3 linked regions of the Kluyveromyces lactis genome follow. The protein of the gene in region 3 purifies or fractionates together with the protein of the main gene of each other region. This does not show direct contact. Links are inferred from orthologs where the notes say so. Each region holds a gene or a part of one and is shown on either strand. Other genes may lie near its edges.

Region 1 (11,477 bases), on a different chromosome or scaffold from region 3:
ACACCATCCGAGCCAAAGTGTGGCTTTTCTAGACAGATGGTTGGAATATTGAGAGAACATCAAATCAGATTTGGGTTCTTCGATATTTTGAAGGATGAGAACGTTAGACAAGGTTTGAAGAAATTTTCTGACTGGCCAACTTTCCCACAGCTATATATCAATGGTGAATTCCAAGGAGGTTTGGATATCATCAAGGAGTCATTAGAGGAAGATCCAGAGTTTTTTCAACACACTCTGTCAGCATAAGTTGACCCGCTAACTTGCATCAAAACGAAAATAGCTATAACGACCTAACAGAGAATTTTGTTGCACTACGCTAATATTTTATTAGAGCAGAGCTGCTTGCACACACAACGTTAATAATTATTGCGGTCTGCTCTTCCCATAATTGGAAGCCACTGAATATCTCTGGTAGGGTCTCGAAACATTCGTTGATTTGCAACCACGAAAAAGTAAACGAACAAGCACACTGAAAACAATGAGTCGTTAACTGGCTTGCAGCGCTATGTTTGAGTCTCGAATGTTAACAACGTGTACCATGTCACAGTAACAACGTATGCTTCTCACTTATTTATTTTTATCTATGTCTTTTTAATAGAATAGTAACATTAGTAATAAAAAACATCTGATTAAATGATAAATGCAATTTCATAAACGAGTTGGGGGTGTTGATATAACAAGTATTCCTATAGGTTCTCTATATCAGAATCAGATAGAGGAACGTCTTCATTAATTGAGTTCTGAGTGCCATTGAACTTCGTTTGTTTTGGCCTTTGGGACAAAATTTCGTAAAGTTCAGAGTCACCCTCTTCTACTTCCAGACCGATAGCTGGCTCGCTGTCTGAATCCACTATCGGATCATCTTTGAAATCATGGTTATCTGGTAAAGTAGAGGGGTCCTCGTCTAGGAGCGACTGCTTCTGCAAAGATTTCAGTTTTTCCAAGTTCCGTTCATTGGTTAATGCTAAATTTTCGCTCTTAGAATCATCTAAACTAGTCGTTAATTCAGAAGTTGCATGCATCATCCTCATTTCACCACCAACTCTTTCCAAGATGTCAAGATCGTCTATCGTCAATAATCTCCTATACTTAGACATATAATCATTATATTGTTCTGTGGTAGGTTTCAACGAATCAATATAATATTTCAAAGACTTCGCCTTAAATGATAGGAATTTACGTATTTCAGGACCAAAATAACTCCCATAAAGAACCGCGTCTTTGGTGGACCACAAGGAGTGGTATTTGTAAAATTCAACAGCAATGAAATCCTGCAATTGAAATTGAAACCTCTTTTGTTCCTGAACCATCTTATACTCTCTTGGAAAGTTTGCTTGACCATGTACGCTGTGATTGGAACTTTTCACATCGCTAGAAATATTTCTAACTTTCCCAAGACAATAATACAGAGGTTCTTCTTCTAGAGGTCGTAGTGTGTCCGTTATACTCAATGTGTCCACAACATCTGCAGCATAGTGCAGCGGGAACTGTGATTTGTTTAATTTAGAGAAATTCTCCAGGATACCCAATTTGAACGTGTCATTGGCAATTGTTCCGCCGTCAACAAGCTCATTTATCATATACCTATCATTTTCATTATCCTTCGATCCATATATTACCTTACCAATACCATGGAAATAACTTGTTGAACTTTCTCTCGTGAAAATACTATTAGTTTCATCAAAGCTAGAAGTGCACCAGAATTGTAATGCCGCGATGCCAGATCGAATATCACCTGTACTAGATGCAAGGTTCTTAATGAAAGTGCCACTTCTTTGGTATTTCTCTGAGGGGATTTCTCTTCTAACTTTCTGTATTATCTGCTTTAAATGCTTCGTCATTAATGTTGCATTGATGGGATTAAACTTAATTCGATGCAACAACGGGTGCATCAAGATATCTTTGCCCAAGATTGTTTCTGAAATGAAGGTAGAATCTATTCCAAATGATGAATTAGTAGAATTCGAGTCCAGTAGTTGACATTCAGTAAGACAAATCACCAGTGGTGGTAGACGATCAGAAGCAAAGAGCCACGAGAGAATACTCTCCCTGAACCTTTTCAACGTTGACTCGTGGAAAACATTCGGCAGATCTTCGACAAGAAGTACTGACAAATTCCTACCGATTAAGTACTTAGATTGAAGCAAAAAATCATCAAACGACTCAGATGGTGAAACGCTACTCATATCTGTAAGATATTCTGTAAAATTCGGAACTTCCCTTCCACTCACTGTGAGTCCTGACGTAGCTCTATAACGAGGCACTATCTCATCGCTTATAAGCTTAACACAAGTACTTTTAGAACAACCTGCAGGCCCACTTAACAGAAGAATCCGTTCATCTGATTTCCCTGAGACCATACCCTCTAAATAATACCGTACTTCCTCTATCTTCTTCTTATGCAATGCGATGTCATCAACTCTCTTCGGACTAAATTTGTCATACCATTGCAGCTCACTTGGCAACGTCCGTTCTCCACTAGGTCGTGTCAAATCCACATGATCCAAATTCGTGTAAGGAAAGGAAGGAACCGACGTAGATGATCGTTTCACCTTCTTATCCTTTCTTGGGGATGCTCTGCTTATCCTATCGCTGATTTCACTGATAGATCGTTTCAAACTAGGAGTTGACATGCTATAACATCATTAAAATTCCTCAATTTATGACGAAAATAAATGTAATGTCGTTTAGTTCAATTCTGCAAAACGGCCGAGCTCCGTCTTGGCGAGCTATTCGGTATATAATTTGGTATTAAGAGTAGTTTACCTCTCTTCAATCTGTATTCTCTTATATTGAGTGCTAATCTCTGACTGTGGAAATATCTAGCTTACCCGCACATTGAAATTAAGCATTCCATTTGATATTTGCTAGTCGAATATGAATTATATGAATGGAATAACATCGTATAGCTTAGATGTGGTATCTAAAATGCACATAGAGCGAGTTGAAATCAAGCAATAGTCAGTACTGATAAGGTACATACTTAGACAGAGAGATGACCGAAGATGCTAAAGAAAGAAAGCAGAAAATCAAAGAGATTTACCGTTATGATGAAATGTCAAATCAGGTACTACGCGCTGATAGAAGTTTGATAGAGAACAGGACGGATGTGCATCGTGATGCGGAAATATCACAGCCGAAGTCTATGTCTGGTAGAATCAGGCTTACTGAAATGGGATCTGCCGTTAAGGAGAACGGATTAGAAGATAACGAGCGTGCTACAGCAGAGAAAGAATTCGAAAAGCGTATGAAAAGCTCATCGCCTCAGCAGACGAATAGCTCAAGGCTGGACAGAACCACGGTACTTGACGATATAACGTCTTTGAACTACATACCGACTGATGATAGAAATACTGAGATATACGATGAGATAACTACATGGTGTTCTGAGATACTCGGTGATGATATACCGCATTCCATTATAGTAGACGCAACAGATTTGATAATAGTAACTTTGAAGCAGGATGAAAGTGTAGACCTAGAGAGCAAGAAAAAGACTATTGAAGTAGCTTTGGATACTGAATTAGACAACGCTTCATTCAACTCACTTGTAAAGCTCGTGAAAAGTATCTCTGATTACTACGCAGAATCCGCCGATACCGGTAGAACAGTAAATGTAGCGATAAATCCCAATGAAGATGATGACGAAGCAGAAGAAGAAGAGGAACCAAATGCTCTACTAGAAGCTGTAGATGACGTGGCAGGGGAAGAGGCCGATGAAGAAGCGGGTTATAATGAAAAAACAGACAATAGTAATGATAATTTTTCTGTACGAAGTGACATAATGAATAATTCAGAATCTTTGCAAATACAGAGTGCAGCTGTCATGGAAGAAATAATAGATATCAAAGATATTGATGGATTTTATCTTCAGAGGAAGATCAGGAAACAACTGAAAAATATTGAAGAGACAAAGGTTCAGGAAATGGCCAATAACGTATACGACCTGCTCGCAAACGACATCTCTGAAGAGGAACTGACCCAAAATCTCCACGATATTTTCGGACCTGATGCGAAACAATTGATTAGGCTAATAGTCTCAAATAGGGAGACATTGTACTGGGGTCACAACTTACAGAGGTCTGCGAACGAGAACATTGACGAAATTCTAGGGGAAATGGCACAAAGAAATTTATCACACTTGGTAGAAGCATATAAGGCGAAACCTGATTCTGCTAAAAGAAAGTTGAATTCAGAGCCAGAAGTTGGAACCAAAAAACAAAAAATAGAAGCTGAAGATGAACCCAAAGTAATTGCCCTCGATGACCTTAAATTATCGCAGAATACCAAGTTTTTGTCAGACGTGAAAATTTCGTTACCTGAAAACTCATTCAAAAGAGTCAAAGATAGCTATGAAGAAATTCACGTTCCCCCGCCCAAGAAGGTTGATGACAATTTCCCGCTTGTACAGATCGAGAGCCTACCGAAATGGGCTCGCAGTGCTTTCCCTACGTCTGAAACGACTTCACTAAACAGAATTCAATCTGAGGTCTACCCCACTGCTTTCAATACAGACGCTAATGTATTACTATGTGCCCCCACAGGTGCTGGTAAAACTAACGTAGCAATGTTGACTGTACTAAGAGCAATGTCCCATTACTATCGGGAAGAGAGAAATGCCTTCGATTTGAAAAAATTTAAAGTGGTTTATATCGCACCGCTCAAGGCATTGGTACAAGAACAAGTCAGAGAATTTCAAAGAAGGTTACATCATTTTGGAGTGAAGGTAGCAGAGCTTACAGGTGATTCCAACTTATCTAAGCAGCAAATCGAAGAAACCCAACTCTTAGTAGCAACTCCGGAAAAATGGGATGTAATCACAAGAAAATCAACAGACACTAGCTTTCACAAACTCGTACGTTTGATCATCATAGATGAGGTCCATTTATTACATGATGAAAGAGGTCCGGTCATTGAATCAATAGTAGCAAGGGTTCTACGGGACACAACGGCAGAAATTCCTACGAGGCTTGTTGCACTTTCTGCCACTTTACCAAACTACATTGACGTGGCCAAGTTCCTTCATGTTCCTGATAATGGCTTATTTTATTTTGATTCAACTTTCAGGCCATGTCCTTTAGCACAACAGTATTGTGGCATCACTGAGAAAAATGCTTTAAAGAAGAAGAATGCCATGAACCAGGCATGCTATGATAAATTATTGGAGGCCGCAAAAGAAGGACACCAAGTTATCATTTTCGTTCATTCGAGAAAGGATACTGCTAGAACTGCTAGGTGGCTTATTCAAAAACTTATAAATGAAGATAAAATAAGTGCGTTCCAAGGTACCGATAAAGGTTCCTTGGAAATCCTCAAGACAGAATCCAGTAATGCTACTGATAGATCGCTCTCCGACCTTATACCTTATGGATTCGGTATCCATCATGCAGGCCTTACAAAGGATGATAGATCTTTATCCGAAGACCTTTTTGCTGATGGTTTGCTAAAAGTTCTTGTTTCCACAGCAACTTTAGCATGGGGTGTTAACCTTCCTGCCCACACTGTCATAATTAAAGGTACAGAAATGTATTCACCGGAGAAAAGTGATTGGGTCATGCTTCCCCCACAAGATATCCTTCAAATGTTAGGAAGAGCTGGTAGGCCGAGATACGACGTAAATGGTGAAGGGATCATTATTACAAACCAATCAGACGTACGTTATTATCTCGCTGTGTTGAACCAACAACTCCCTATAGAATCTCAAATGATTTCAAAAGTTGTTGATAATCTTAATGCTGAAATAGTTCTAGGTAACGTCACCTCACTAGATGAAGCAGTTAACTGGTTGGGTTATTCCTATTTATCAGTACGGATGAAGCAATCACCTCATTTATACAACTTGCAAGGTTCTTCAGGAGACATGAGTGATGCTGAGCTCATAAGAGTCAACAGAAATATTGTGCATACGGCGTTGAATTTATTACAGAATAACGGTCTTGTAAACTATGACTCTCTTTCTAAGTCGGTACAACCAACTGAGCTAGGTAGAATATCCTCTCATTTCTACATAAGTTATTCGTCAATTGCAAAATACAACCGGGAGTTAACAATAAACAGCACTTTGATCGACATTCTGAGAATATTTGCTATGTCAGAAGAGTTTAAGAACATTACCGTAAGACAAGAAGAGAAAACTGAATTAGAGAAACTCGTCGAGCGTTGTCCAATTCCGATCAAGGAGAAGGCTACTGATTCATTAGCCAAGGCAAACATTCTACTTCAGGTGTACATTTCAAAATTACGATTGGAGGGGTTCGCTTTAAATGCGGATATGATTTACATTTCTCAGAGCGCAGGTAGACTTTTCAGAGCACTCTTCGAAATGTGCTTAAGAAAAGGATGGCCAAGACTAACCAAGCTTCTGCTTACCATCTGTAAATGCGTCGATAGCAGAATGTGGCCCACGAACTCACCATTTAGGCAATTCAAGAGATGCCCTCAAGAAATCATAAGACGAGCAGAAGCGTCTGGTTTACCCTGGAACGATTTCTTACTGTTGAAGAATGCTCATGAGGTAGGCGAAGCCTTAAGATCTCCAAAAAATGGTAAAGTTGCTTTCGATTTGCTTCAAAGATTCCCGAAGATTGGCATTCACTGCGCAATGCAGCCAGTTACAAATTCACTACTTCGTTTTGAGTTGGAACTCCAACCTACATGGATCTGGGATCTGGATTCCAGCAGCTATTCTGAAACATTCCTTGTTCTTGTCGAAGACACAGACGGTGAACAAACAATTTATCATGAGACATTGCATGTTGGGAGAAATGCAATAAACAGCATTGTGTATCTTGACTTTGTTGTATTTTTGAAGCAGAAAATGTTACCGCCGAACTATTTTGTATCCGTTATATCAGAAAAATGGCTAAACTGTGAGTACAAGATTCCTGTTATTTTGAGTGAAATAAAATTACCTAAACCATTCCCTCCTGCAATATCTGTTTCTGATTCAATTAAGAAAAGTACCAAGGAACTACAAATTGATGAATTTGAGGCGTTATACAATTTCCATTCTTTCAATAAAGTTCAAACTGAAGTTTTCGATACATTATACCATGAAACTGAAAACGCACTAATATGTGCAACAAAAGGTTCCGGTAAAACAATAATGGCAGAACTTTCATTATTGAACCATTGGAGAGAAGGCAGAGGACGTGCGATTTACATTTGTCCATTCAAAACCAAGATAACTGAACTTCTAAAGAATTGGAAAAAGCGATTCTCACATTTGGCTGGTGGAAAACTGATCAATGCTTTTTCTGGAAATTTGCAGCACGATCAAAAACAATTAGCCCAATCTCATCTAATATTAGCTACTCCGAATGAATTTGAATACCTGTCTCGTCGCTGGCCGGAAAGAAAAAACATTCAAAGAATAGAACTAATTATTTGTGATGACATCCATGAAATAGGCAACGAGATAATTGGACCGATGTATGAAATCATAATTACGAGAATGATTTTCATTGCAACACAATTGGAGAAGAATATAAGGATTGTGGGGCTTGGAACCCCACTTGCCAACGCAAAGGATTTCGGAGAATGGTTAGGTGCAAAAAAATCAAGTATTTTCAATTTTACTGCTTTAGAAAGGCAAACACCCTTGACAGTCGATATCGAAACTAGCATTTTAGTAAAAAGCCCTACTTCTAATCGAATGGCCCTAACTGAGATCGTTGAAAGTAGTAATCGTGTCGCCTCACCCGATGAAACTATAACAGTTTTCGTCACTGACAGATATGAATGCGTTTCTTTCGCGACAGAACTCGTTGGTCTCGCTGTTGCTAAAGGCATTGATCTTCTTAGAGCAGAGGAATCCAGTTTACACTCGTATCTCAACAAGGTCCAGGACAGCAACCTCAAGACACTGTTGCAAAGTGGTATAGGAATTCTATACCAAGGTATGCATTATTCCGATAGGAATGTAGTCCGTAAGCTCCATGAATACAAGGTGATATCGATTTTGGTTGCAAGTAGGGATTGTTGTTTTGATGCCCCTTCATCAAGTTTTGTCTTTGTTACTACAACTCAATATTTTGAAGGCAGGGAGAACAGATACATCGATTATCCTGTAAATACTATTCTTGAGATGATGGGAACAGCGTTTACGGCGTCAAATAAACAGCAAGCACATGCAAAACTAATCACCACAATGCAAAGGAAGGAATACTATAAAAAATTCCTTTGTGATGGGTTACCAACGGAGAGTTCTCTGCCATACCATGTTATTGATTTACTTACAACGGAGTTTGCAAACCAAACATTAGAAACCAAGCAAGACTGTATCGACCTTTTAACTTACACTTATCTATATCGTAGAATACATGCAAATCCAAGTTTCTACGGTATTCAAGATGTGACTGCAGACGAAATTTCCTCCTATTTAACAGAATTAGTAGAGGAAGCAGTAACAACCATGAAGGAAACCGAGCTTATATCAGTTGAAGGGGAAGCGAACGATTCCACAGAAATTGCAGAGGAGGTAATTTCCCCGAATAATGCCTGTCTTATTTCTGCTATCCATGCCGTAAGTTGTTTAACGATATGCAATTTTAGCCGAGCAGCATCAAGATCACTAAGAATGAGCGGTATTCTTGAAATTTTGTCTTCAAGTGAAGAGTTTAAGACATTGCCTCTTAGATTACATGATATAAAGCCATTAAGAAAATTATACGACATTTCACCTTTGAAGTTGTCCTCCGAATTCGATCCACGCTCCACAACAGCCAAGGTTTTTGTGTTATTGCAGGCCCATTTTTCAGGTCTTCATTTACCCATGGACTTATCACTTGATTTGTCTGAAATCCTTTCAAAAGCACCTAGCTTAGCAGGAACAATGGTAGATATATTGTCAATGAACGGTTATTTGAATGCCACTACTGCTATGGATTTAAGTCAAATGATTGTTCAAGGTGTGTGGGATACTGATTCACCTTTGAAACAAATTCCATTCTTTGATACAGACATCTTGGAGAAATGCAAAAACCATAATGTAGAAACAGTTTATGACGTGATGGCTTTAGAGGATGAAGAAAGAGAAGATATCATCACTTTACCGGAAAATAAGTTGAATAAAGTCGCAGAATTTGTCAACAGTTATCCAAACATTGAGTTGAAGTATGCTCTAGATATGTCAGCACCGATGAAACCTCACGACAAAAAAATGGTTACTGTAACAGTAAGTAGAGATGAAGAACCAGAAACACTAAATGTTAGCTCAAAGTCGTTGCCACATGAAAAAACTGAAGCATGGTGGATATTCATCGGTGAAAAGAGCTCCAGGCAGCTATATGCTATCAGGAAGATCGCGCTTACAAAAATGACCCAGGACTACGAATTGGAAATCGAATTGGAAGATCCTGGTGATCATGAACTAACAATATGGTGTGTATGTGATTCTTACTTGGATGCCGATAAGGAAGTAACATTTAATGTTAACATCGCATAGTAAATGCATAAATAAAAAGAAAGTACTGTATATATGCAGTGAATATAAATTAAAATAAAATTCTTTCTATAAGCAGAGTAGAATCCCTTTATCTAATCCTTCATTTCAATGTCCCCGTCATTATCCTTGACTTCTGTCACATCCGAATCAACAAACCCGTTATGTTGCTTTTTCTTAACACTTTCTTGGTGCGCCAGTAACTGTGCATGACTCCACACAGATACACCTTCTTGATCTTTTGGATCAGTTGGTTGTGCCATGGTTCGCAAAAATTGCTTAGTATTGGCGATAGCCATATCCGTGGACAAGTTCATGTCGGCATCAGATAAACCTTGTGCAATCCATTTTGGTAGTTGACTTTTCTTCCTTGCAAATCTACGGTCTGCCAACACCATTACACCGTAGTCATCTTTACCACGTAAAACTCTACCTAAGCATTGAGCTGCATGTCTCATTGCATCAAAAGATAAAAAGTCATTCTCTCGGATCTGGTAATTCTCACGTAAGAACTCTAGTCTTGCCTTAAGAATACGAGATTCTGTATACTGGAACGGAATGCCGATCATGAGTACAGTTCTTCCGTACTGATGGTCAAAATCGATACCCTCAGACACTTTACCACGCGCAACTGACAAAAGAATGGCTCCTCGTCCGTTAGAACAGGCCTTACGGTATGTTTCCAATGCTAAAGCAGTTTCTTGTGCATCGGGAGTTTCCACTAAGATCAATTTGTATTTCCAAACCTCATCTAGAATACCCATAGTTTGCCACATTGAAATAATGGATTCCATGTATAAATAAGATGGGAAAAAAACGACCAAACCATCGGGTGTGATTTTGGCAAATTCAACCAACATCGAACCATAGTTACGAACAATGGAAGGATCATTTCTAATTTCGAATCTAGATGATATTGCCACTTGATCAGAACCCTTTGTTAAAATCATTGGCAAGAATGATTTTTTCGCTAAAGTCATCGAATAAGATTGTTGTAATACAGTTTCGAAATTTAACATCTTAGGGTACATATCCAACGGGGATATGGTACCCGAAGTGATAATAACCGATGAGAATCGTTCGAAGATAGGTTTAATTGCAATCGATGCGTCAAGACAAGTAAATCTAACGATTGGATTGGGCACTGCCGCATTTTCGATTTCATACGGTTCTATAATCAAGAGGAACCCATCCTCATAAGTAGAAATCAAAGTAGCAAAAGTTGCAATGTCTTTCAAAGCGTTAAATTCTTCCACTTCCTCGACTTCAAGGGTCCTAACCAATAACGACAATCTTTCTGAACAAAATCGTAAAGGTTTCCTTTCTATAAATGTCAATTGTTTGAGATGAAGGAGGAAAGAGTTTGGTGTCTCCGATATGACATGTAAAACCTTCATTCTAGTCTTCAAATATTCGATAAATCTTTTCAAAAATGAAATGAAATGTGTAGCTCTTCTTATATTCCCAGGAATTGCCTCCTTCAATATATCATTTGACAAAACTGGTGTTTCCACCAACGGCTCTTCTTCGGGTTCCAAGATATCCGATGCTCTTAACCCGTGAACCAACTTTTCATATTCATCTTGTAATTTCTGTGAATCCACTTTCTTCATCTCTTCGACTTTCCGATCCAGGGCATTAGCACCTTTAGTGGCCTTCTTTAATAGATCCTTGGTCAAATCTAGGGAAAGAGATTCAATGCAAACATTATCTATATTATGGGCCTCGTCGAAAATCACAATAGCATCTTTACTGACCTCTTTCGACACACGCTCTGCAATCTTGGGATCCAATAGATAATGGTAAGAGTAAATGATAATATTACACATCGAAATCATACGACGTACAGTGAAATAAGGACACATCCGTTTCTCCTCACAAAACCGAATCAATCTTTCAAATGAAAACACACCTGGAGGCAAATAATCTGCCACATCGTAATTATACATATTTTCATGGTAATCACATAACTCTACGTTAGCATCCGGATTCTCTTCCTTTTTCTTCCTCGCTTGCCCATTTGTCATCCGTCGAC
Region 2 (11,627 bases), on a different chromosome or scaffold from region 3:
GTCACCATGACAGATTTTCCCTGATTTACCAATATTGAAACTAATTCACAAATAACTGATGTCTTACCAGTTCCAGGCATTCCTAAAATCAAGTTGTAGTCACGGCAGGTGAGCGAACGTTCAATCGCCATTTTCTGGTTTTCATTAAAGCTGTCATTAAGAGTTGGTATTCTGGCCGCATGAGTCGTCCATTTCGGTTCGGAAAGCTCTACAATGAGCCTACGACCCCTGCTGTAACCCCCAAGAGATCTTTTAACAGGAAGCTGTAATTTTTCTCCAGATTTTTGCGGTGAGAATTCAGCTTCAATAAGGACTTCTGGAAGAAAGAGATTTAGAAGGTTGTAACGAGCCAAAGTAAGTCCTGTAGCACTCTCATTTTTATCAATACGATATCGGTGACTATTTGTCAAGCTTTGTTTCTCGTTCAATGGCTCTTTTTGTTTAAGTAAAACACTTCGAACTACTTGTCTCGTATTTCTATCAAAAGAATCACCATGAATATTGTTTGCCAGAATGTTTCTCGCACAATTTATCACAATGAAATCGTTAGCGATTTCAGAGACATGACCAGTTCCAATGGCTAACTGGCCAGAGGTGTCGTTACTGATCATTATATAATCTCCTTTATGGATATCTGACGAGAGCATGCTAGGTGGAGCGCTCTTGAGTTTCTTGGTCTCCTGTTGTTCTGCATTGGAAGTGGCAAATGACCCTTGAATATCGTTTTCGCGGCAGAAAGTGTACAGATATCTCCCGTTTCCCTGATCCTGTACATTCTTTATGGTAAGCTGACTTATGCAATGTCCTGTTTGAGCCTCTCGATCTGTGCCCGACATAAGGAAAGTATCTTTAGTGACACTTGTTATGCTAGTTTCTTCCATCATTAAAAGCCTATCGTACTTGCCGTAAAACGACCGAAAGAGCTCTAGGACCTGTGAGCCTTGTGCTTCAAGATGTCTGGTTAAATCAGTATATTCATGCTTTAGCAATCCTGGCGTTTGTTCTTTGTCACTTAACTTGTTGAGCACCATGCAAGATGTCTTCATGAAACATTGATCGCACTTGGAGTTCTGTATCATTGCGGGTAATTCATGTTGTGGTCCACCCCAATCAGACATCTCTTCATTCATTACTTGTAGGTATGTCGCAAGTTTATTTCTGAGGTTAAGCAGATGCTTTAGCGATATTAAAATTTTGGGTTGTAATGAGAACTCTCTTAGCTTAGTATACAACATCATGTGCAAATTTACAGGGATGTCATATCTATCCTGGAGAAGCAATGTATAAATTAGACCCTGTGCCTCGTGTGCATTAGATTTCCATTTCCCTGTCTTTATCTCCACGGGAGCTAACAACTTTTTACCGTCTGAATCAACATTCGTCTCAACAGTGACATCTATATATCCTTTCAATCCATACTTTGATGACCAAATGTTCTCTTCAATATCAACGATCTGAGAAACAGATAATTTACGTTTATTTTTTGTTCCAATTACTTGAATCCAGGACCTTGAATTGTCCTTAGTGACATAAATGTTCACAAATTCTATGATAAAAGGTAAATGCTCATCTGAAATCGTTTTAATCACTGATTCGACAGATTCTCCACACATATTCACCTCCGTAGTGAATGGTTTTATGACTTTGTCCAGAATTTCGAGAGCTAAGCCTTTTGAGAGAAACTGATTCGGCTCCAACAGCTTCAATTTTAACACTTCCTGGACCAACGCGTGAATAATGTTACCTAAGACAGCTGCAAGCGAGTATTCACCGGGTTCATTAAATTTTGAAGATAAAACGGCACGCCTTTCGCAATCCATGGCAGTCCCAATTGCAGTGGCAGAAAGAAGAACATCCGGATACACGATCAATAAATTATCATTTTCGAGGCCTGTTTTAGGGTCTTTGTCATTTGAAAGAAGCCGTTTATTAGGAAAGTGGTCACCTTCTATTAGGTGAATAATCATTCCTTGCTCGTATCTGAAACGAATCCATGGATCTCTGAGAATTAGGTTAACTTTTCCAGCATCCTGATTGAAGCATGTGAGAATTATTTGCGCTGGTGATTTCATTTCCTTGATTTCAAAAATACATAGTCTTTGACAGCCGCGTTGAGGGAATGGGAATTTAGCCAAGTTAACATACCTTTCAACCACATCGGCTTTGTTATTAAGCAGATGATCGGTTTGATTTTCATTTGATTTTACAGAGTCTTCCACATTTTCATCCTCTGATTCAAGCATAACTTCAATGCGTTCAATTTTTCTCACTTGAAGTTGAGGGAGTGTAGCTGGCTTTTCCTCATCAAGAAGTTCTAATAAGGAAGCATCTGATTCCTCTGATTCTTCATTGCATTCTGTGATGACTGGCTTTGTGAATCTTTGTGTGAGAATATCAATTAACGAATCGTCCTCATCCTCGTCGTCATCTATATTGATCTGAGGAGGATACATTGTGAACGTGCGTTCTATGCCATTAGTTGTAGTATGCTTATGATTTGAAATACTCTCTGATGCCAGCTCCGGAAGATTTTCTACAGGGTCATCGTCTATAACAACTGGTTCCGAGCAAATTGGTGAAGAAGGCGGAAGCAACTTAGGACCTTCTAAGTCGTTTAAAATTTCGTGTATATCTCTCATAGGTGTGACATCCTTTTCTCCTCTTTTTACAGGAGATCCTTGTGCAATTTTCCTGCATTCTTTATCAATGCTGTTGGGATCCATGTTCTCAAAATCAATCACATCTTTAAACTTATCGTTGATCAATGGAGTAGAAGATTGACCTAGAGGCATATCTTGACTTAATTCATCGGAGTTATTATCGTCGTTTCCAGTATTATAATGGTTACATAATTGCTCATCAATTTTCCTAGGAGAGTATCTCCATATTACTTCTTCCGACGGACCATCGCTATACCTCGTTTCTGGCACAGCTTCAGTCGATTTTTCCCTTCTAGTCTTTGTGCTATTGATAATTCTTTTAGATGCAAGCTTTGTTTTGCCACTAGTTTTCGCATTGACAGTATCTTTGACGGAACTTCCAGCTTCCACATTTCGTACTCTTGAGATCGGTATCGATTTCAAAATTGGTTCTTCACTGCTAAGCCGGTTCAGGGGGGCAAAATGGTAAGATTTACTTGGTTTCTTTTTAGGTTTCCCTTTATAATCCACTGAAATAGCATCCGTATCCTTCTTAAATGGCGATATAGAAACACTGGCGGTACGTTTTTTCTTTGGGGTAGAAACCATCGTGTTTCCAGTAAAGAATTCAAAGCCTTATTGCTATTGAGTTTGTACAACAGTATGCTTCTTTTTCTGCTTCTTGAATCCCCACCATTTGGGTTACCACCAATTCACTAATCCTAAAGTTGACTGATTGGCAGTTGGGCTTTTCTCTCTTCGCGTTTGAAGATATTCAAATAGTTCTTCTTATTCGCGATATATTTATGTGTATTGTTTTAATATTTACGTTTTTTAGAGATCAACATTTTCTGATTCCAAACCAAAACATTGCGCATGGCAAAAGGCAATCGCAGGGCTAGGGTACGACTTACATTGGATGTATAGAACCGACACTTTGGTCCTCTCACAAATATTGATGCATTTTCGTGCATTCCTTTATAAATTATATTGTTTGATAAACGTCATGATAATGAACGGAAACGGTGAGTTGATACGTCAGAATTTTACGTACGAACGCGTTAGTATTAAGTATTAGGTTGAGTTCTTTTCGTTAAATTGAGGGATTGATACGGGGTAAAGTGATCTGGTGTAGACTTCTTTAATTTAATGACACTGTCCTGTATGATTGTGGATGGTTCTACTAGGCCGTTACTAGCTTGATTGAGATTGAGTTGATAAGTTTTAGAGTTCGCCATACTGATATGTTGATCCGGACTTTGTAGACGTTTCGGCAGTTCGTTTTCATCATTGACTATATGTTCGTCGTGGTTGCTTTTATCCATAAAAGAATCTCCCAATTCGATGAAATCATCGTTCATTCCTGGAGCGAACTCATCTCGTAACCCAATTGTGGAATAGAAACTTTCAATATCTGAAATCAGTAAATCTTTCTTCTTTTTGAGAGACGCTTCCAGTTCTTTGCTAAACTTCGGTACTCTTTTGTTTGCTGCAGCCTTTAGCTTCAGTAAATTTAGCCTCGTCTTCATGAGTATACGGGATGTCTGCTCATATAATGCCATTCCAAGCTTTTCTTCATTCATTTCTGATGCAATTGAATCGATTGCCGTTAGTTCCCGTTCCTCTGGCAGTGCGAACGACCTATTTTTAGTATTAGAAACATTTGGTGCAGAGGTACTTTGATTAAATTCTGTGGCTTCGGTTTCATTTTGTGATAGCTTTGGTGTCTCTTGCTTTTCAATAGAATTTTGGAAAGCAGTTGGCTTTGTAAGTAAATTCTCTTTAACTGCTATTTTCACATCATTCTCTTCATTTGACGATATGTCACCAGAGTCAATATTAACGGGTAGTCTAAGGGCATTATACATTTTTGATAGAAAGTTGTAATTTGATTTGGAGCCTTTTTGTACTTTGTCAAACGAGTAACCTAATCTCGTTAGTTCCATAATGTACTTAGCTGCGTTCATTTCATGACCAGACATTGGGAGAAATTTAGAAGATTTATCAGAGTTAGATGTTTGATTCGCGTTAGTAGAAGTTGCAGCTATCATATGATCCGTTTTTTTAGGACCTGCTGCGTTGGGCCTGTTATATTTCGGTCCAGAGTTACCTGGTTTAAATCTCAATGGATTCTTTCTTTGTGGTCGTGTTGCTGCAGAGACATTTCTCTTGGTAGTTGTTCGCGCCATTATTATTTCACGGCTTCCTTTATTGAAAGTAACTAGTTTCTTCCAATATGCACCAATAATCACTTTGGTTAAACTGTTTGTTTAACCGTCTCCATCGGAGAGTCGATGTGCAATATCTTCAAGGGACGAAGTTCCTTGTCTACTTTTTAAATATTCAGTATTACCTCTCAGAGAGAAGTCACGTGAAAGTTTGGAAGTCAGATGGAACAAGCACATTATGACTACTTCACTTTTATGATAATATGAAAATCGTAGAGCCTAAAACGCCATTCCAAACCGTCTTATACGGTTGATGTAAGGGCAAATGCAGGTCAGATGCCTAATATAAATGTAAAATGGTTTTAAAAAAATATATAACAATTATAGAGAAATTATCTGTATTCTCCTTCGCTTAAGCGAATAGATTTTCTTGATCCGGTTCTAATTCCTCATCTCCAGCAAGTTCAGAGAATTGTATGAAGTGAGGAGCACGATGGAGTTCATTATAGAACTCTAGTGGGATGTCTAATTTCAATTCGTAAGGTAGATCTTCGCTAAAAGCAGTTCCCATGAAAGCGTAATTCCATATCGATGACGAAGGTACCAAGAAATTGCCCATAATGCGTTCAGATAATAAAATCTGTGCAGTCTCGCTAAATGAAGCTTCAAACCCTTCTGGTGAAGGGTCCGTTATGTCTTTCGATTGTAAGCCCCAGTTGAAACCCGTAGTGCTTAACGTATATCCTGTAATTGATACGGCACCTGGGATTAGATTTATGCACAAATCAACAGCACTTTCGTTATGATCTGAAAACATTTTGGAATGAGTGATCACTTCAGATGGTGACATGAATTTGGAATCGACTTTTTGGGTATGTATCCATCCCAACAGTTCCATGTCGTTGAGATATTTGGAAGATGAGGGGGGAGGAGATATGCGAACAGTTGCGGAACTGCCGAGTTGAGGGACAAGTGCTATCGTCTTAATTTCCTTCACATTAGGGTGATCTTTTACAGGTGACCCGTACATATACCCTGCAATTTGGACATCGACATCAGCTATTGTGACAAACTTCTTCAACAAGTTCCGTGGGAATACGAGGACATCTTTATCTTCTACAAAATCTTCGGCAGTAACATATATGTTCTTAAGCTTCAAATGTAGCAATGAATTGGAGATTGCATTTGACCGCCAAGCATTTTTCGAACTGAAAGATTGGGACTCATAATTGCTGGATGACACCACTGTAATTTCTTCACCTTGAGCATTGATTGTTTTTAGCTTCATGGCTGCCGTGGCAGACTGCGACGACTCATCAGTTTTCTGATTTCTTGCAGCCTCCAATTCTGCCATCTTCTGCCTCTGAACAGATGGAGCTCTAATGTTCTGTCCTAAAATCAAATTCTTGATTTCAGTTTGAGTCAAAGAAGCAATGTTTACATTGTATTTTTGACCATACTCTAAGAGAATTAGATCACGCATCTTCGTCTCAATTTCAATCCACTGATCATCAGTAAAAGAAGGCCATAGATGATTAGCTCTCGTTGGGATTGTAGGATCCTCTAATAGAATCATTTTGGCTTTTTCTTCATTGGTTTTGAGCGCTCTTAATAGCAATATCAATCTAGAGAAAGCAGTGTAGGCAGAAACTCGAGTTAGCCAGTCATCATAAATGTTGAACAAAACCATCTGCGGTTCTGTAGCGCTTAAAACAACATCATTTAATTTTTCTATGTTCAAAACAGAAGAAAAAGGTAATCTGAGCTCAGTTGGACGAATCGAAATGTTTGGGAAATCTAACATGTGTACTTCCATAGGGTCCATCATAGCTTTTCTAGTAACTATAATTTGTTTAGGTTGTTCTTCTTTGGGTAACGATCTAACCAATGCACTTACTTCTTCTGCGGTTTTCCATTTTGCCAATTGAGCCAATCTGCTCTGCCCCGCCCACACCGAAGTGTGAATTATTTTCAAATATAGTTCACCTGTTTTCGGATTTAAAGTAAACACGCATCCGTTGATAGGCTTAGTAGCCACATTGCCTTCATAAGTTCTATGAACAGTGACCCGGTAAACATTCGTATCATCGATAAAGAATTTTGTGTCATTGGAAAATAGCTCTGCGTAGTTGGATGAGTTCAAAAATGGCTCTTGAACTTGAGATTGATATATCTGAAGACCTTTCCTGATACGCTCCCTCAAAACGTAAAGTGCTGGATTAGCTTTCATTATTGTTTTCATACCGTTGTGTATCAAGGGCTTCAATCCCTCAAACCACGTTCCATAGGAGTCGTAAATATTATAGGCCAAGTCAATACCGATCATAATACCAGTAGGAGACGGGTACAAGCTCACGTTATCTGTGGTGTAATCTAAAAATTTCGCACGGACATATCTTGATATATCATGAGAATCATAGTCACCATATCTAAGCTGCACATCGATCCACATTTTGTCAGTTGTGGTAGCGTCGAAAGAATCTTTCGTCTGATGCAACAATGTTGGTCTGCTAACCTTCCATTTGTAAATACTGTTCAATGTGATGTCAGCAGCAGACGAATTCATCTTATACGACTTACGTGGATGAATTGATTCTTTTTGAACAGATTCAATCTGTAGTATATCCATTTGGCCGTCCAGAATTTGACAGATGTCGAAAACCACACTTTCGTGGATTTTTTGCCATAGATGTGCTCGGAAAATTTGAATTAAAGATATCTTCAATGTTGGAATTTTACCGTGCAAGAATATTCCTGTTAAATCCAATTGCACCAAAAACCCAACGTAGACGTTCGCTCTATTAATCGTCGGAGACCACCATAACGTAAACCTACGATTAGGGATCTGACTCAAACCAGTTCTTTGTGCATGAGTAAGTTTCTTGAACTGCATTGAATCTTCAAAACCAGAGGCTTTCTCCCAGAAAAGTCCTTCCCATGATTTAAAGCCAGTTCCTTTAAATAATGTGTGCTCAAGAATTGTTTCGATACCCCCTAAGGCCTGAATGACATCCGTACGATAGGCATTCAAGTTCCATAATTTACCATCATGACGATTATTTGTCCACCAGAAAGCATTACTACGTTCCACTGAATACTCTTTGAATTGTCGCCTAATCCTGTGACCCTTATCATAGGCTAGCGTATGCCTATCTTTTTGGAATATGGTACTGATCCGCGGTATACCTCTATCCCAAGAACCCTCTAATTCTTCAAATGCCAACCTACGATTTTGTTTTATGGCTTCTTGTCTTTTAGCAGCATAATCCGCCCATACTCTCTGTGAGTCCAAAAATTCGTTCTCCCAGGTAGTAATGTATCGGAAAATTGTTGGTATCATCTTCTCATCTTCGTGGGACATCCCTGCCCTGAAATGTGTTATTCCAGTATCTGTGTGTTTTGACCACCTCAAGTCAGAAGCGGGAATTAAAATGTGCGATGCGCTGAGCATTCCCAAACCACCTAACTCTTTAGGTGTATAAAACACTGCTGGAGGGAACCTTGTTGGCATTTTAGAATTTAAGCCGAGTTTTACTCTATTTTGAACTCTAGTCTCAGATTTCACGAGTAAGTCGAGTAACGGTTCTGTCGTGACGATAGATTCTCTAAAATAGGTAAACAAAGCGATTAGTGCAGTATTCCATTTGCCCACAATTTTTGTAAAAGTTGTGGAGCCGGAACCCATCAAAATACTTTGAATACGACCTCTAAACTCATCAATAGCTTCTTGTGATACCTGTAAAAACGCTTTGGCAGTCCGTTCTTTTGTGGAGTCCAACACCAAATCCCATACACCCTCATCATGAGAAATGACATCTTCCATCCGAGATTTCGGTAGTATTCTCACCTCAAAACCGCACATAGTGAAAAGTAAATTAGGATTATTCTTGCTATAAACTGAAGAAAGAGTATTCTCCCACGTTATGTTAACAAGTGATTTTGGTACCCTAGATGTAAGTTCCCAGAAAACAGCACGACCTAGATTAACATCGTGTCTGATTAACCTCATGCGGGCGTCTCTAGGCCAGCATTTCTTGTTGTTATAACCAACAGAATTTTCAAAATTTGGATCGGGGTTTTCCATCAAATAGTCTTGGATAAGCTCATCAGACTCAGATTCTTCAAAGTGGAATAAAATATGGATTTTGTCAAGATAGCGTGAGTAGAGGCGAATTGGGCTCTTCGTTTCAGTAGCTTTATCTGGAAATTGCAAGAATTCAGATGGTTCGTTTGGAGGGCCTGCTAGTTCCTGTGCCCTTTCATGTCCCAAGATGAGAATATCAATCATTAAACCATAAAATTGATAAACAAATGGTGCAAATTGTAATCCCCTTATTAGACCATATTTGTTAACATGATTCATATCCTTAAAGATCAAACTGACATTATTCTTTGCAGTAATGTAATCCGCTAATGTCGGATCGATAATTAACCTTAGGAGCCTGTTTATTAGTGTCAAATCCATCTTTTCAACGAATTCTTGTAAATCAGTTTGCAACAATACGGTCGATTGCCCTTTGCTGATGTCCCATACAGAATCTAAGTTGTTAATGCCTTGACACCATTTGTAAACAAGAAGTGGCGGGATTTCTGAGTCACCTGGCTTTATCCAACTAGGGAAAAGCTGCCTTCTGTCAGCTTCATACCATAGATACTGGTCAAGATATGCATCGGTAATTTTCTCCAACGGATCAACGTTATAGACTGGAGATATGTGTTGATAATGATCCATCATTGTTAGTTGTATTGGCTTGAATAATCTTTGGGTTAGCAATAGTTTTTTAATTCTATTCAAGGTATCATGAGGATTGTCATATGCCTCTTCAATTAAAGCTAACTCTTCACGTTCCTGGGCATTTAGCCTGACTTTTGAAACGTATTGCTCTTTTAAATTCTCAAGTGCCAAAACCAAAATCTTCGTATCGTTTTTATAAGTCAAAGGAGGGAACGGGATAGGTGAGAAGTTCCTGGCATCAAGCCAATCTACCATTGCCGAGAACACTGCACTTGCTTCTGCTGGGGTTACTTCGGGACCTGCTTTCTCAATTTCCTTTTGCCTTTCCTGCTCATGTTTTATCCAAAGTCTAGTTAATCTGCCTAAATTTTTCTTCAATACAATTTTTTCGACATGGGCACCACTTTTGATTCTATCACGATTATAGTGAGCTTGAGATGTCCAACCGTCAGCTTTTGCTTTCACATATCTTTCTATAATGTTTTTTATTGGCTCGGGCATTCCTGGAACTTCCCAGGGAACATTGGCTTTCCAGCATCTCCAAGCCTCAGATAAGTGCTGTAAAATTGTCCTTGCCTTGCTCTGCTTTATTCCATCGGGAATCATGTCCAAAATGTCATTCATAACAGATGCTCGTAGTTCTAAGTCATAGTAAGCATCGAGTCTTTGTTTAGTAGTAGTTTTAACAACATCAGTTGATCTTCCCTCAAACTGACGAGTGAGTAAATTTCCTAGCCACCTTTCTAGAATCGGTATTATGCCTCGAAGGAAGAATATCCAAACTCTCCATGCAGGCTGCCAGAAACCACATCCTGGACCTTTCCCGATAATTTTATTGAATCTATAATACACGACATGTTTTAGATCTTTACATGTACGAATTTGATGCATGACTTTGTACTTGTACCTATAGATACCTGTGAGTTGTCCTGTGTGGTTCAAAATATAGTACAATCCATCAGCAAGCTGAAACGCATCGACATTTCCCATCCTATATTGAACATGAGAATCTACCAACAACTTTATTATTTTTAAAATTTCTCTTATTAAATGGAAAGCATTCCCAAATCTTGCCTTCTTTCTCTCCTTCGTTGTAAGGGTTTTAGTTGGCTTTAAATTGAAATTGTAATCAAGATGTAAGTACGTAAGGCCTTTTTTGTGAATCAAGAGATTGAGCATACTGTGACCTTGTTTGCAGACTTGTAAGCCGGCCTCAACCCAATCTATCGTTGTTTCTTGGAAGAATTTAGTATTTGCTAGACTTTGTAACAACTTAACTTTCTTTTTTGAAGTGTGGTCATCGGTATGGAGTTCATTTGCTACAATATTCTTCAATAGTCTTTGGTGGGAACTCTTTACTTTGTTAGGATATCTTTCATCAGGATGTTCTTGGTACCACCTTTTTATTAGAGCGACATCCTGAGCTCTGGTGGTTTTACCCGATCTTTTGTTGTATGGATATGGTGCATGATATAATGACATTGCTTCATTAGTAGTGGGAAAAAATAGTTCTTGTGTTTCCATTAAAGGTCTGACATCCATTGGAATCCTAAAAGAGTTATCTCTGGTGTTTTCTGCAGTTGTGTGGAAATGGGGCAGGGAATGCGAAATAGTTGGGTTGAGAGACTGTCCGAAAAAAAAGGTAGCAGATGAGTGCTCCATTTCAGATTTAACGGTACACGAGAGCGGATCATGGTACCACAATGTTTCAACAGATCTTGGTCGAGCTGCATATATTTGAGGGAAAGCGATCTGGTACTCTGTTCGTATAGGTATGCGGAAAATTACTCTATCTATTGAATTGAATTCGTTATAATCTTCCTCTTCTTCGTTTGGATATAGAGGCTCAAATTTGGGGCCACCTGGAAGACTGTTATTTAGCGCTTTGGAAGTAAAGAAAGCCTTTTGCTCAAACAAGTATTTTGCGTTTTTATCGGAATTCGACTCTTCAATGAGTGGTTTTGCCAATCTGTATAAGCTGCACATGACTCCATTGTCAAGTTTCCAACGTTTGTATGAGCTTCCGTTGACTGCTTTCGCATTATCCTCTAGGGGACGTGTATCATAAATCCAGTCTTTTACGCC
Region 3 (9,472 bases):
AACCTTTTAGGCTTATGCTTACCGACCATTTGGTTTCGGCATACGGGTTACACAAAGTGATGGACTTATATGAGACGAGGTCAGCAACAAAGGATGAGTTAACAAAATTTCATTCTGAGGACTATGTCAATTTCTTAGCGAAGGTAACACCAGATACATTGAATAAACTTCCTCGAGGGTCACTCGAGAAATTCAACATTGGTGACGATTGTCCTATCTTCCAAGGAATGTTTGATTATGCTGCCTTATATGCTGGGGCATCGTTAGATGCTTCTAGAAAGCTACTTAATGGTCAGAGTGAAATAGCTATCAATTGGTCTGGTGGTCTACATCATGCGAAAAAGAACAATCCATCTGGTTTCTGTTACGTTAACGATATCGTGTTAGCCATAGTAAATCTACTGCGGTATCACCCGAGAGTGTTATACATCGATATAGATTTGCACCATGGTGACGGTGTACAGGAAGCGTTTTACACTACTGACCGTGTGTTCACTGTTTCATTCCATAAGTATAACGGCGAATTCTTTCCAGGTACAGGTGATTTGGATGAGATAGGTTGCTCCAGAGGTAAGCATTTTGCATTGAACGTTCCGTTACAAGATGGGATCGAAGACGACTCATACATTAATTTATTCAAAAGCATTATTGATCCCGTAATAACATCTTTTCGGCCCAGTGTAATTATTCAGCAATGTGGTGCCGACTCCCTTGGCCACGATAGACTTGGCTGTTTTAACTTAAATATCAAGGCTCATGGTGAATGTGTACGGTTTGTCAAGTCGTTTGGAGTACCAATGCTTGTGGTTGGAGGTGGTGGTTATACACCAAGAAATGTTTCAAGATTGTGGACGTATGAAACAGGATTATTAAATGGGGTATTGCTACAACCTAAACTTCCAGAAGGTATTCCATTTAGAGATTGGTTTGGCCCAGATTATTCATTACATCCAACACTAGATGACTTGTATGAAAACAAAAATTCCAAGAAATTTCTTGAAAATATACGGATTAGATGTTTGGAGAACATCAAATACTTACAGGGTGCCCCAAGTGTTCGTATGGATGCAGAACTCATCCCAACACAGGACATCACTGGCCTAACTGAAGAAGAAGAGGAACTGATAAAAGAGTTAAATGTCGAAGAGGACAAGGCTAGGTTGGCACAAATGGAGAAGGATGACTTTAAAGTGGGCGAACTATACTAAAATATCACGTGCGGAAATCTGATATATTTGTTTTTTTTTCTTTCTTTTGGTTACGCTTTGTAAATAGATATCCTATATGGAGTTGTTAGAATACTACTAAATTAACACTATTAAGGTAAAATTATGAGCACGAAGAAAGTGCCTTCGAGGTTAAATAAATACATTATTACCAATTAATATTAAGATCGTATACTTCATTATGCTTACATGGTATGGGTTTTTATTTAACTTGTCTATATGTGTTAAGAAATTTTCTGAAGATATCCTTTAGTAAATAGAATATCTTTAAATTGCTGTGAATATTAAATAATAATGGCGGATGGAGGTACAAAAGGTATTGTTTTGAAGTACCATCATAATTTTGTAAATTGTCGAAAACTTTTGAGAATAGTCTTCATCAAACGAAGAGTACTTTTTTGTCAGTCTACTGGGATTTTGAAATCAAACAAAAAAAGCGTCTCCTTAAACACCAGCTTCGAAGTCCTTTTGAGCCATGAAAATGGATAAATCAACCACTCTTGAAGAGTAACCATATTCATTATCATACCAAGAAAGGACCTTGAAAAAATGGTCGTTCAATTCAATACCGGCCTTGGCATCAACAATAGATGAACGTGAATCGGATGTGAAGTCAGAGGACACAACGGCGTCTTTGGTAACACCCAAAACACCCTTCATATCGCTGCGAGATCTTTGTTCTAGGGCCTTCATAATGTCATCGTAAGAAGTTTTCTTTGCTGTACGGAATGTCAAGTCAACCAGGGAAATATTAATTGTTGGGACTCTTATAGACATACCGGTGATCTTACCATTAAGTTCAGGCAAGATTTTCCCTACAGCCTTAGCTGCACCAGTAGATGAAGGAATGATATTTCCCTGGCAAGATCTACCGCCTCTCCAGTCCTTACCACCAGAACTGGTACCATCGACAGTCTTTTGAGAAGCAGTAGTTGCATGAATAGTTGTCATCAAGGCTTCTTCGATACCGAACTCATCGTCCAAAGCCTTAACCAACGGAGCCAAACAGTTGGTAGTACAGGAGGCATTAGAGACCACGTGATCCGTCAATGGGTTGTATTTAACGTGGTTAACACCATAGACGTACATTGGCGCGGTCTTTGATGGAGCAGTAATGATAACTTTTTTGACACCTTTATGTCTAGAGGCTGTATCGACTTCCTTGAAGACACCGGTTGAGTCAATTACATAATCGACGTTGTAGGAAGCCCATGGGATACGCTCTGGTTCCCTAAAATGAGATAGAGGGATATGAGCCGAAACATGGTCATTTTGAATGATGATACGTTCATCGTCGAATTCAACTTCACCACGATACTTGCCGTGAGTAGAATCGTATTTGAACAAATAAGCAGCGTATTCTGGTGTTGTGGATGGATTATTGATTAATCTGACCTTAACTTCTGGGTGCGTCAAAGCAGCACGTAGAACCAATCTACCGATTCTACCAAAACCATTGATACCAATGTTAATTTGAGCTGGCTTAGAAGAAGATTCGTTTGTCATATCGGGCATCTAAAAAAGTGACAGTATCAATTCTGTGAGATTTTAAAAGGTCCGGTTTAAAGAAAAAAAGTAACTTTTCTCTCAAATAATAATAATAGCGGTAATATGTGCCAGTAAATATTAGAAAATAAAGAAGTTTTCTAATGTCAATGTTATTAAATCACAAGTGGATGACCTAGCGTAGCAGTACCAGTAAGATCTTTATTTCTTAAAAAAGGTAAAAAGAAGAAAACGGTGATGCGAAAGCAGTGAAAGCAGAGCAGACAGCGGTTAATTAGATATGATTATCTCTGGATTTGTATAATTTAAGGAAACCATCAACCAAAAAAAAAAACACCAGTCGTTTACCGGTTAGATGATTTCGTCTTAAATTGCCCATGGCATGTACATCCCATATTTATATATACTTGAGGATAACAGATAAATGAATGAAATAGAAGCCATAGAGAAACCCCGGAAGAATGTTTCAAACTGGTCTAAATATTTGAAAGGTTGAAATTCCAACCTGCTTCTCTGTGGCAGAGGAACGTTGAGAAAAAAACACAAGACAAGTAAATAAAAAGGTCAAATTCACAACAAAAAAACGCCAGAAAAACTACGTAAAATGAAAGGCTTTTTTTCGCTGCTGCTTCCGTGCGATTTTCTACGCCAATCCCTATTGAATAATACTAGGACAGCGAAGCATCGGTCGGTTATTGATTGCTTCTATGTGGCTGTCTGCCCTATCTTGAGTCACGAATCAGAGACAAGGGGAAACCACTACATCAATTAGACGCCAGATAAGAATAGAGACAGACGCTTTAATGAGCTTACTGGCCAATAGGAAGCGTTTTTGGTCATCAGATTGTATGCCTATTATGTTGTCCGGTCTCTGGTAGATAATGTCATAAGTATGCCGAAGCTTTAGTATGAAAAAATACTGAAAAAACTCCGGGGTTCGTGACAGTTTTTTAGGGACAAAAAAGTCCTACCGGAGCAAATTGGAAGAGACAGACAATTTGGCCCTGAAACAATTCGGAGTTTCAAGAAAAGAGGGAAAAACAGAGAAACGCATAAAGAGCAGACATGATTTGGTAATAGTTCCGGGGTGAGGGGCACAGTAGATACTGCAGATAAAAGGGTCTTCTTCTTATCCTCCTTTCTTAGATATGTACATAGATATACCTTTATCGAATCTGCCTAGAGAACCCGGGGGAGCTGTGAAAGCGATGTTTTCCGGGCAGGGGCTGGTGCTTTTGAGAACGGTTCAGAGTCGGGCTTGGAACCGAATCTTCCGGGTACTGAATTCTTGGAAGGTTCGGAAGAGGAAGAAGCACACACGTGACTCAAAACTTGTAGCGCCAGTCTATTGCTCGCTTCCCAGACAGCTCTTGTGCTGCTAGCTATATGGGGGGTGATGGTGTTATAATGGCAATCCTCAGATAACCATTGTTCTACAATTGGCTCATCGTGAAACACGTCCATTGCTACATGTCTAACTCTGCCGGGTTCTTGTGCCATAATATGCTGTAATGCATCATCGTCGATTATTGAGCCTCTTCCGACGTTACAGATAACAACGCCGAACTTGCATCTTGACAGAAAAGTTTTGTTGATCATGTGATGTGTTGATGCATTTCCTGGTAGACATATTACAATGCAATCAAACGTTTCAAGGCATGGACTGCTTCCATGCGCATCCTGAAAATCAGACTCAAGTAGCTCAGAGATTGGATGGAATTGCCACTTCTGGATATAAGTGTCCGAGCTTATTTGTTCTTTTGTAACCGGATTTCTCTGCGTGTAATGTATTTCCATTCCTAATCCGGAATCCAATTTCCTACCACACTGGATTCCAATACGTCCAAGTCCCATAATGAGACATCTCTTGTTCCGACAACTTTCATTAAAGGTTCCTCGTTTCCATCTGTGCCCAAATTCGAACCTTGGTGAATTGTTTTCACCGTGTTCCAGTACGATTTCTGAACGAGCCTTGATAGTGTTTCTTGCTGATCTCAATGCATGTGCCTGACTTGAGAATTTCCGAAACCCATCTAGAACGTGCCAGAGGACGCAATCTGCAACGTCGTTGGCTACAATTCCAGAGTCCTGTATCATGTCGTCATAATTGTACAGTTGAATGCCCTTTTCCCGTAGTGACTTCAGGTCGAGCCAATTGTAACCTACAGAACACAGACATATGCACTTGATCGACCCAGGCCAACGATGATCATCCAAGATTTCTGCACTCAAACCACCTAAGGGAGCGAATTGTGGATACCCTCCAAATATTCCGACAATTGGACCCTTTTGCTTCGAATGCTGGTCCAAGAAAGTTAGAAATGCTTCCTTACCAGTGCCATCAACATCTCGTTCAAGTGTGTAATTAACCGTGTTGAACTCTTTTTGCAAAAGCTTATATTCCTGTAAACTGTATTCAGGTTCAGCTATGAATAGTATCCATGGCCTGTCCATCGTGAAACGAAGTTTGGGACAAATGAGGGAATATGGTTTTGTGTATAAACTTTGCAGTGAAGGGATCCGAGTTTTTCTCTGCCAACCCAGGATCGTCTTTGTTATAATTAATATTGAAACCTCCGTTCACAGATCTGGGTCACGTGAAGAAAACTTCAGTCACTATTTTACGATATTGGTTGAACTGACATACTACCTTTCGAGGTGCTGAACATTCCTGGATCTTCAGCAATTTATGAGCATCTGAAATTGTCCAACTAGTTTGTTAACGCTCGAGATCAATGCCTGAACTGAATGCAGTTATATGCGTCTAGAACGTTTGTCTTTTAACCTTGAATTAGTGTTGAAAATAAAGAAAGTGCGATTGTTACAATAAAAATAACAATAATAGGGAGGATCATAGTATTTAGCAAGAAAACAATAACGACTTCAAACGTAGGGCTACCTTCAACTAGATAGGAAACGTTGGACCTAGTTCATAGAACGTCGAATTGACAAAAGCTTGTAATAATGGACGAAAATTATGATGTTATCGTCCTTGGGACAGGTCTTACCGAGTGTATATTATCTGGCTTACTCTCAATCGAGGGGAAAAAAGTCTTACATGTTGACAGACAGGACCATTATGGTGGTGAATCATCCAGTGTCACATTAACGCAACTATACTCTAAATTCAAACAACATCCTTTGAGTAAGGAAGACATTGAGTCAAAGTTTGGCAAGGATAGAGATTGGAACGTGGATTTGATTCCTAAGTTCTTGATGGCGAATGGTGAATTGACTAACATTTTGGTTCATACTGACGTCACCAGATATATCGAGTTCAAGCAAGTTGCTGGCTCGTACGTTTACAACAGAGGTAAAGTATATAAAGTTCCTGCTAACGAAATGGAGGCTATTTCATCTTCTTTATTGGGTATCTTCGAGAAAAGAAGGATGAAGAAGTTCTTGGAATGGATCAGTGCATACAATGAAGAAGATATCGCCACACATCAGGGCTTAAACTTGGATCAAAACACTATGGATGAGGTATACTACAAATTTGGCTTAGGAAATTCAACCAGAGAATTTATTGGACACGCAATGGCCCTTTGGACCAATGACGATTATCTGCAACAACCTGCTAGACCATCAGTGGAAAGAATTATCCTATATGTGCAATCGATTTCCAGGTTTGGTAAATCTCCATATATTTACCCTATGTATGGGTTGGGCGAATTGCCTCAAGGATTTGCTAGATTATCAGCTATTTACGGTGGGACATACATGCTAAATACCCCAATTGAAAAGGTTTTATACTCAGACGATGGTAAATTCGAAGGTATTGTCACCAAAGAAGGTACTGCAAAAGCACCAATAGTCATCGCAGATCCAACATACTTCCCTGAGAAATGTAAAACTACAGGTGAAAAGGTGATCAGAGCAATTTGCATCACTAAACAACCTGTTCCTAACACTAGTAATGCTGATTCTTGCCAAATAATTATACCACAATCACAAGTTGGAAGAAAGAACGACATTTATATTGCTACTGTCTCTGACGCCCATAAAGTTACTTCGAAGGGTCATTACCTCGCCAGTGTATCAACCATCATTGAAACTGATAAACCTCATATCGAATTAGAGCCGGCTTTCAAAATGTTGGGCCCAATTGAGGAGAGGTTCATGGGTATTTCAGAAATCTTTGAACCGATCGAAGATGGCACTAAAGACAACATTTACATCTCTAAATCTTACGATTCCTCATCTCACTTCGAATCCATGACCGACGATGTCAAGGATATCTACTTTAGGATTACTGGTCACCCCCTTGTTTTAAAGAAGAGAGAAGATGTTGCAGAGGAGTAAGTGAGAACTACGAGATAACCGTGATGCTAACTTTTGAAAATATCGTACCTTCACGTACTTCTACGTACTTTTACGTTACTTTCTTGTTTCGTTACAATCTTTATCATTATCATTTTATTTTTGTCTATTTACTATCTAGCCCCACATATTAGCTTGAATGTTTTGGCAATAGTTTTATTTCAGCAATCGACGTAAAAATATCCCAGCTAGTCCTCTTAAGTCCAGCAGCTTCTCTACTTCTACATATGAAGTTGTGTATGTCAATTTTGTACATGTATCTTTTTTTTTTCCTTCAACATGAAATTGTTTAAAACAATTTCATGTTGAAATTTGACAATACAACTACAACACATTCAAAAGTCAAATGCATGGACCTCTGAACCAAGGCCGTACTGTCCAGAACCATGCTATTATTTTCATTTTTCAAGACCCTGGTTGATCATGAAGTCAAAGTCGAACTAAAGAACGGTATTGAACTAACAGGTACTCTAAAATCAGTCGACCAATTTTTGAACTTAAAATTAGACAACATTTCGTCCAACAATAATGAAAAATATCCACATCTATCAAGCGTGAGGAACATGTTCATCAGAGGTTCTACTGTGAGGTATGTACATTTGAAGAAATCTATGGTGGATACCAACCTACTTCAAGATGCAACCAGAAGAGAATTAATGAGTGAAAGAAAGTAAACGAAAGAAGCAGCGAAAAACAGGGTTCCTGCTGCAGAAAGGAATAATTTATAACTGTTAAATATCATTCGAGTCTACCACTCTCACACTATTCACATATGTAATAATAGAACACATTACCTATCATGGTGGAACTCCCAAGAGTTTCTTCTCACATTTTGATCGGAGGTGTCCAGTTTCATTGCAATAAGAACATTTAATGTTGTTAGCTTTAGACTTTCGTTTTCCAAATTTGGCTTGTTTAGGAGTTCTTTGTACTGGAATTAGAGCATATTCTTGACCGTCTTTCTGAATAATCTCAATTTGTTTCGAAATCATTTTTGAGAACTTCTCTTTATCCAGTTCAACGGATGTAATCATCGAGATGAGCTCATCAACGTTCTTCAGTTTGTTCTCGTATTCCTCTTTTAAAGACGGGAGAGTCGACTGCTTTTTTTGGGACTGAGATAACACTAGTTTGGCTAGTTGATCAAGCGCCTCAGACTGTTTAATAATCTTGTCTGCATCCGCCATGATAGAGCTTGTGGTCACTGGGGTTATCCGATACCACACTTCCTACTCTGGTGGTCCTGAATTTGATCCTATCTCTCTATCGTTCTTTTTTCACTTAGATTCCATAGTGAAAGTGAAAATAAAAAACGACATCGGACAGGGACGGATGTGACCCCGTGAGAAGAGGTGGAGTCGCATTTCCTTACGACTATATGCTCATTTCAACATACGAGATATACATATATACCATGCAACTATTTTTAGGTTGATTTGTCTTACTATCACAAACTTTTCTTTGTTCTTGAACAGAACTGCCCTTTACGAGGCGTAATTAATAGTTTGCGATTCCAATTTCACATCAGCAGGGTTCGGAGCCGCCTCATACACTGCAACAATTGGAACTCCTGAATTTCTTAGTTTCCCTGTCGCTTCACCTCTTAACTCACAGAAATATAATCTATTAAGGTCATCCTCATCACCCGACCAGTTATCCTTCACTAAGACAGTCAAGTTCTCACAATTCTGGAAGATATTCCTTGGCAAGTCAAACTTGATAAATGTGTCATCATCAAATAATGATTCATTATTATAATCTGGTTCAATACCGACGTTGTCTGGAAACTCGACGGTGTACTCCGCCTTCAGATCGTTTATGGTATCAAAGTCCAAATTCTTATTGTAGTTCTTATACAACTGAATGTGTCTTGGTGTACTATACCCTGATCCACCCTTGTTAACTCGTAATATAATTGCAAATATTTTAACAGATGCAGTAAAGGGAATCTGAAGTAACACTTGACAGTCTGCGTCTGACTCTAAGTAAAGGGAAGTATTATACTTCTCATCTTGCGGCTTCAAAAAGCTTTTTGAAACCAAACTTGACCTATCATTGCTAACTCCATTCAGGACTTGTACTTTTGTCATGTCAATATGTGTATATAGGGACTGGTTAGAGAACGTTTCTGCAGGTGGTTCATGAGAATGTCCATGATCGTGGTTATGACCATGTCCGTGATCATCGCCATGACTGTGACCGTGGTCATGGTTATGAGAATGCAACTCGTCTTCACAACTGAAGCCTGACATTGTGGTTATATAGACAGATAACTTTTGCTCTTGTTATTCTATTCTGGCCATTACATTCACTTTTTAAACCATCCTATCTCATCTCATCAAATCACATGAAATTCTTACTATTAAATACCTTAATCTGTAAATGAGAGTTACAGGAGAAATAAGGGTATAGACATAAAA

Evidence for each region.
Region 1: the proteins of LSM2 (region 3) and BRR2 purify together in Saccharomyces cerevisiae (affinity purification with mass spectrometry; 7 studies listed by BioGRID, with this or other methods). This does not show direct contact. The link is inferred for Kluyveromyces lactis from reciprocal best matches to the Saccharomyces cerevisiae genes LSM2 and BRR2.
Region 2: the proteins of LSM2 (region 3) and PRP8 purify together in Saccharomyces cerevisiae (affinity purification with mass spectrometry; 4 studies listed by BioGRID). This does not show direct contact. The link is inferred for Kluyveromyces lactis from reciprocal best matches to the Saccharomyces cerevisiae genes LSM2 and PRP8.

Annotation. Positions count from the first base shown.
Region 1 is NC_006039.1:1,577,720-1,589,196, reverse strand, and holds BRR2 (ATP-dependent RNA helicase BRR2), read left to right. Parts: upstream 1-2,995; coding exon 2,996-9,445; downstream 9,446-11,477. Other genes in the region: monothiol glutaredoxin GRX4, read left to right, coding at 1-246; RAD24 (Rad24p), read right to left, coding at 687-2,633; TFIIH/NER complex ATP-dependent 5'-3' DNA helicase subunit RAD3, read right to left, coding at 9,538-11,477.
Region 2 is NC_006037.1:469,958-481,584, reverse strand, and holds the end of PRP8 (U4/U6-U5 snRNP complex subunit PRP8), read right to left. Parts: coding exon 5,220-11,627; downstream 1-5,219. Other genes in the region: bifunctional ATP-dependent DNA helicase/ssDNA endodeoxyribonuclease DNA2, read right to left, coding at 1-3,248; KLLA0_A05302g (uncharacterized protein), read right to left, coding at 3,707-4,828. UniProt on the Saccharomyces cerevisiae protein: Functions as a scaffold that mediates the ordered assembly of spliceosomal proteins and snRNAs. Required for association of BRR2 with the spliceosomal U5 snRNP, and the subsequent assembly of the U4/U6-U5 tri-snRNP complex.
Region 3 is NC_006042.1:848,618-858,089, forward strand, and holds LSM2 (Sm-like protein LSM2), read left to right. Parts: upstream 1-7,438; coding exon 7,439-7,726; downstream 7,727-9,472. Other genes in the region: histone deacetylase HOS2, read left to right, coding at 1-1,208; KLLA0_F09141g (type I glyceraldehyde-3-phosphate dehydrogenase), read right to left, coding at 1,671-2,741; KLLA0_F09163g (putative hydroxyacid dehydrogenase), read right to left, coding at 3,912-5,186; GDI1 (Gdi1p), read left to right, coding at 5,697-7,034; KLLA0_F09229g (uncharacterized protein), read right to left, coding at 7,850-8,239; KLLA0_F09251g (PITH domain-containing protein), read right to left, coding at 8,537-9,304. UniProt on the Saccharomyces cerevisiae protein: Component of LSm protein complexes, which are involved in RNA processing and may function in a chaperone-like manner. Component of the cytoplasmic LSM1-LSM7 complex which is involved in mRNA degradation by activating the decapping step.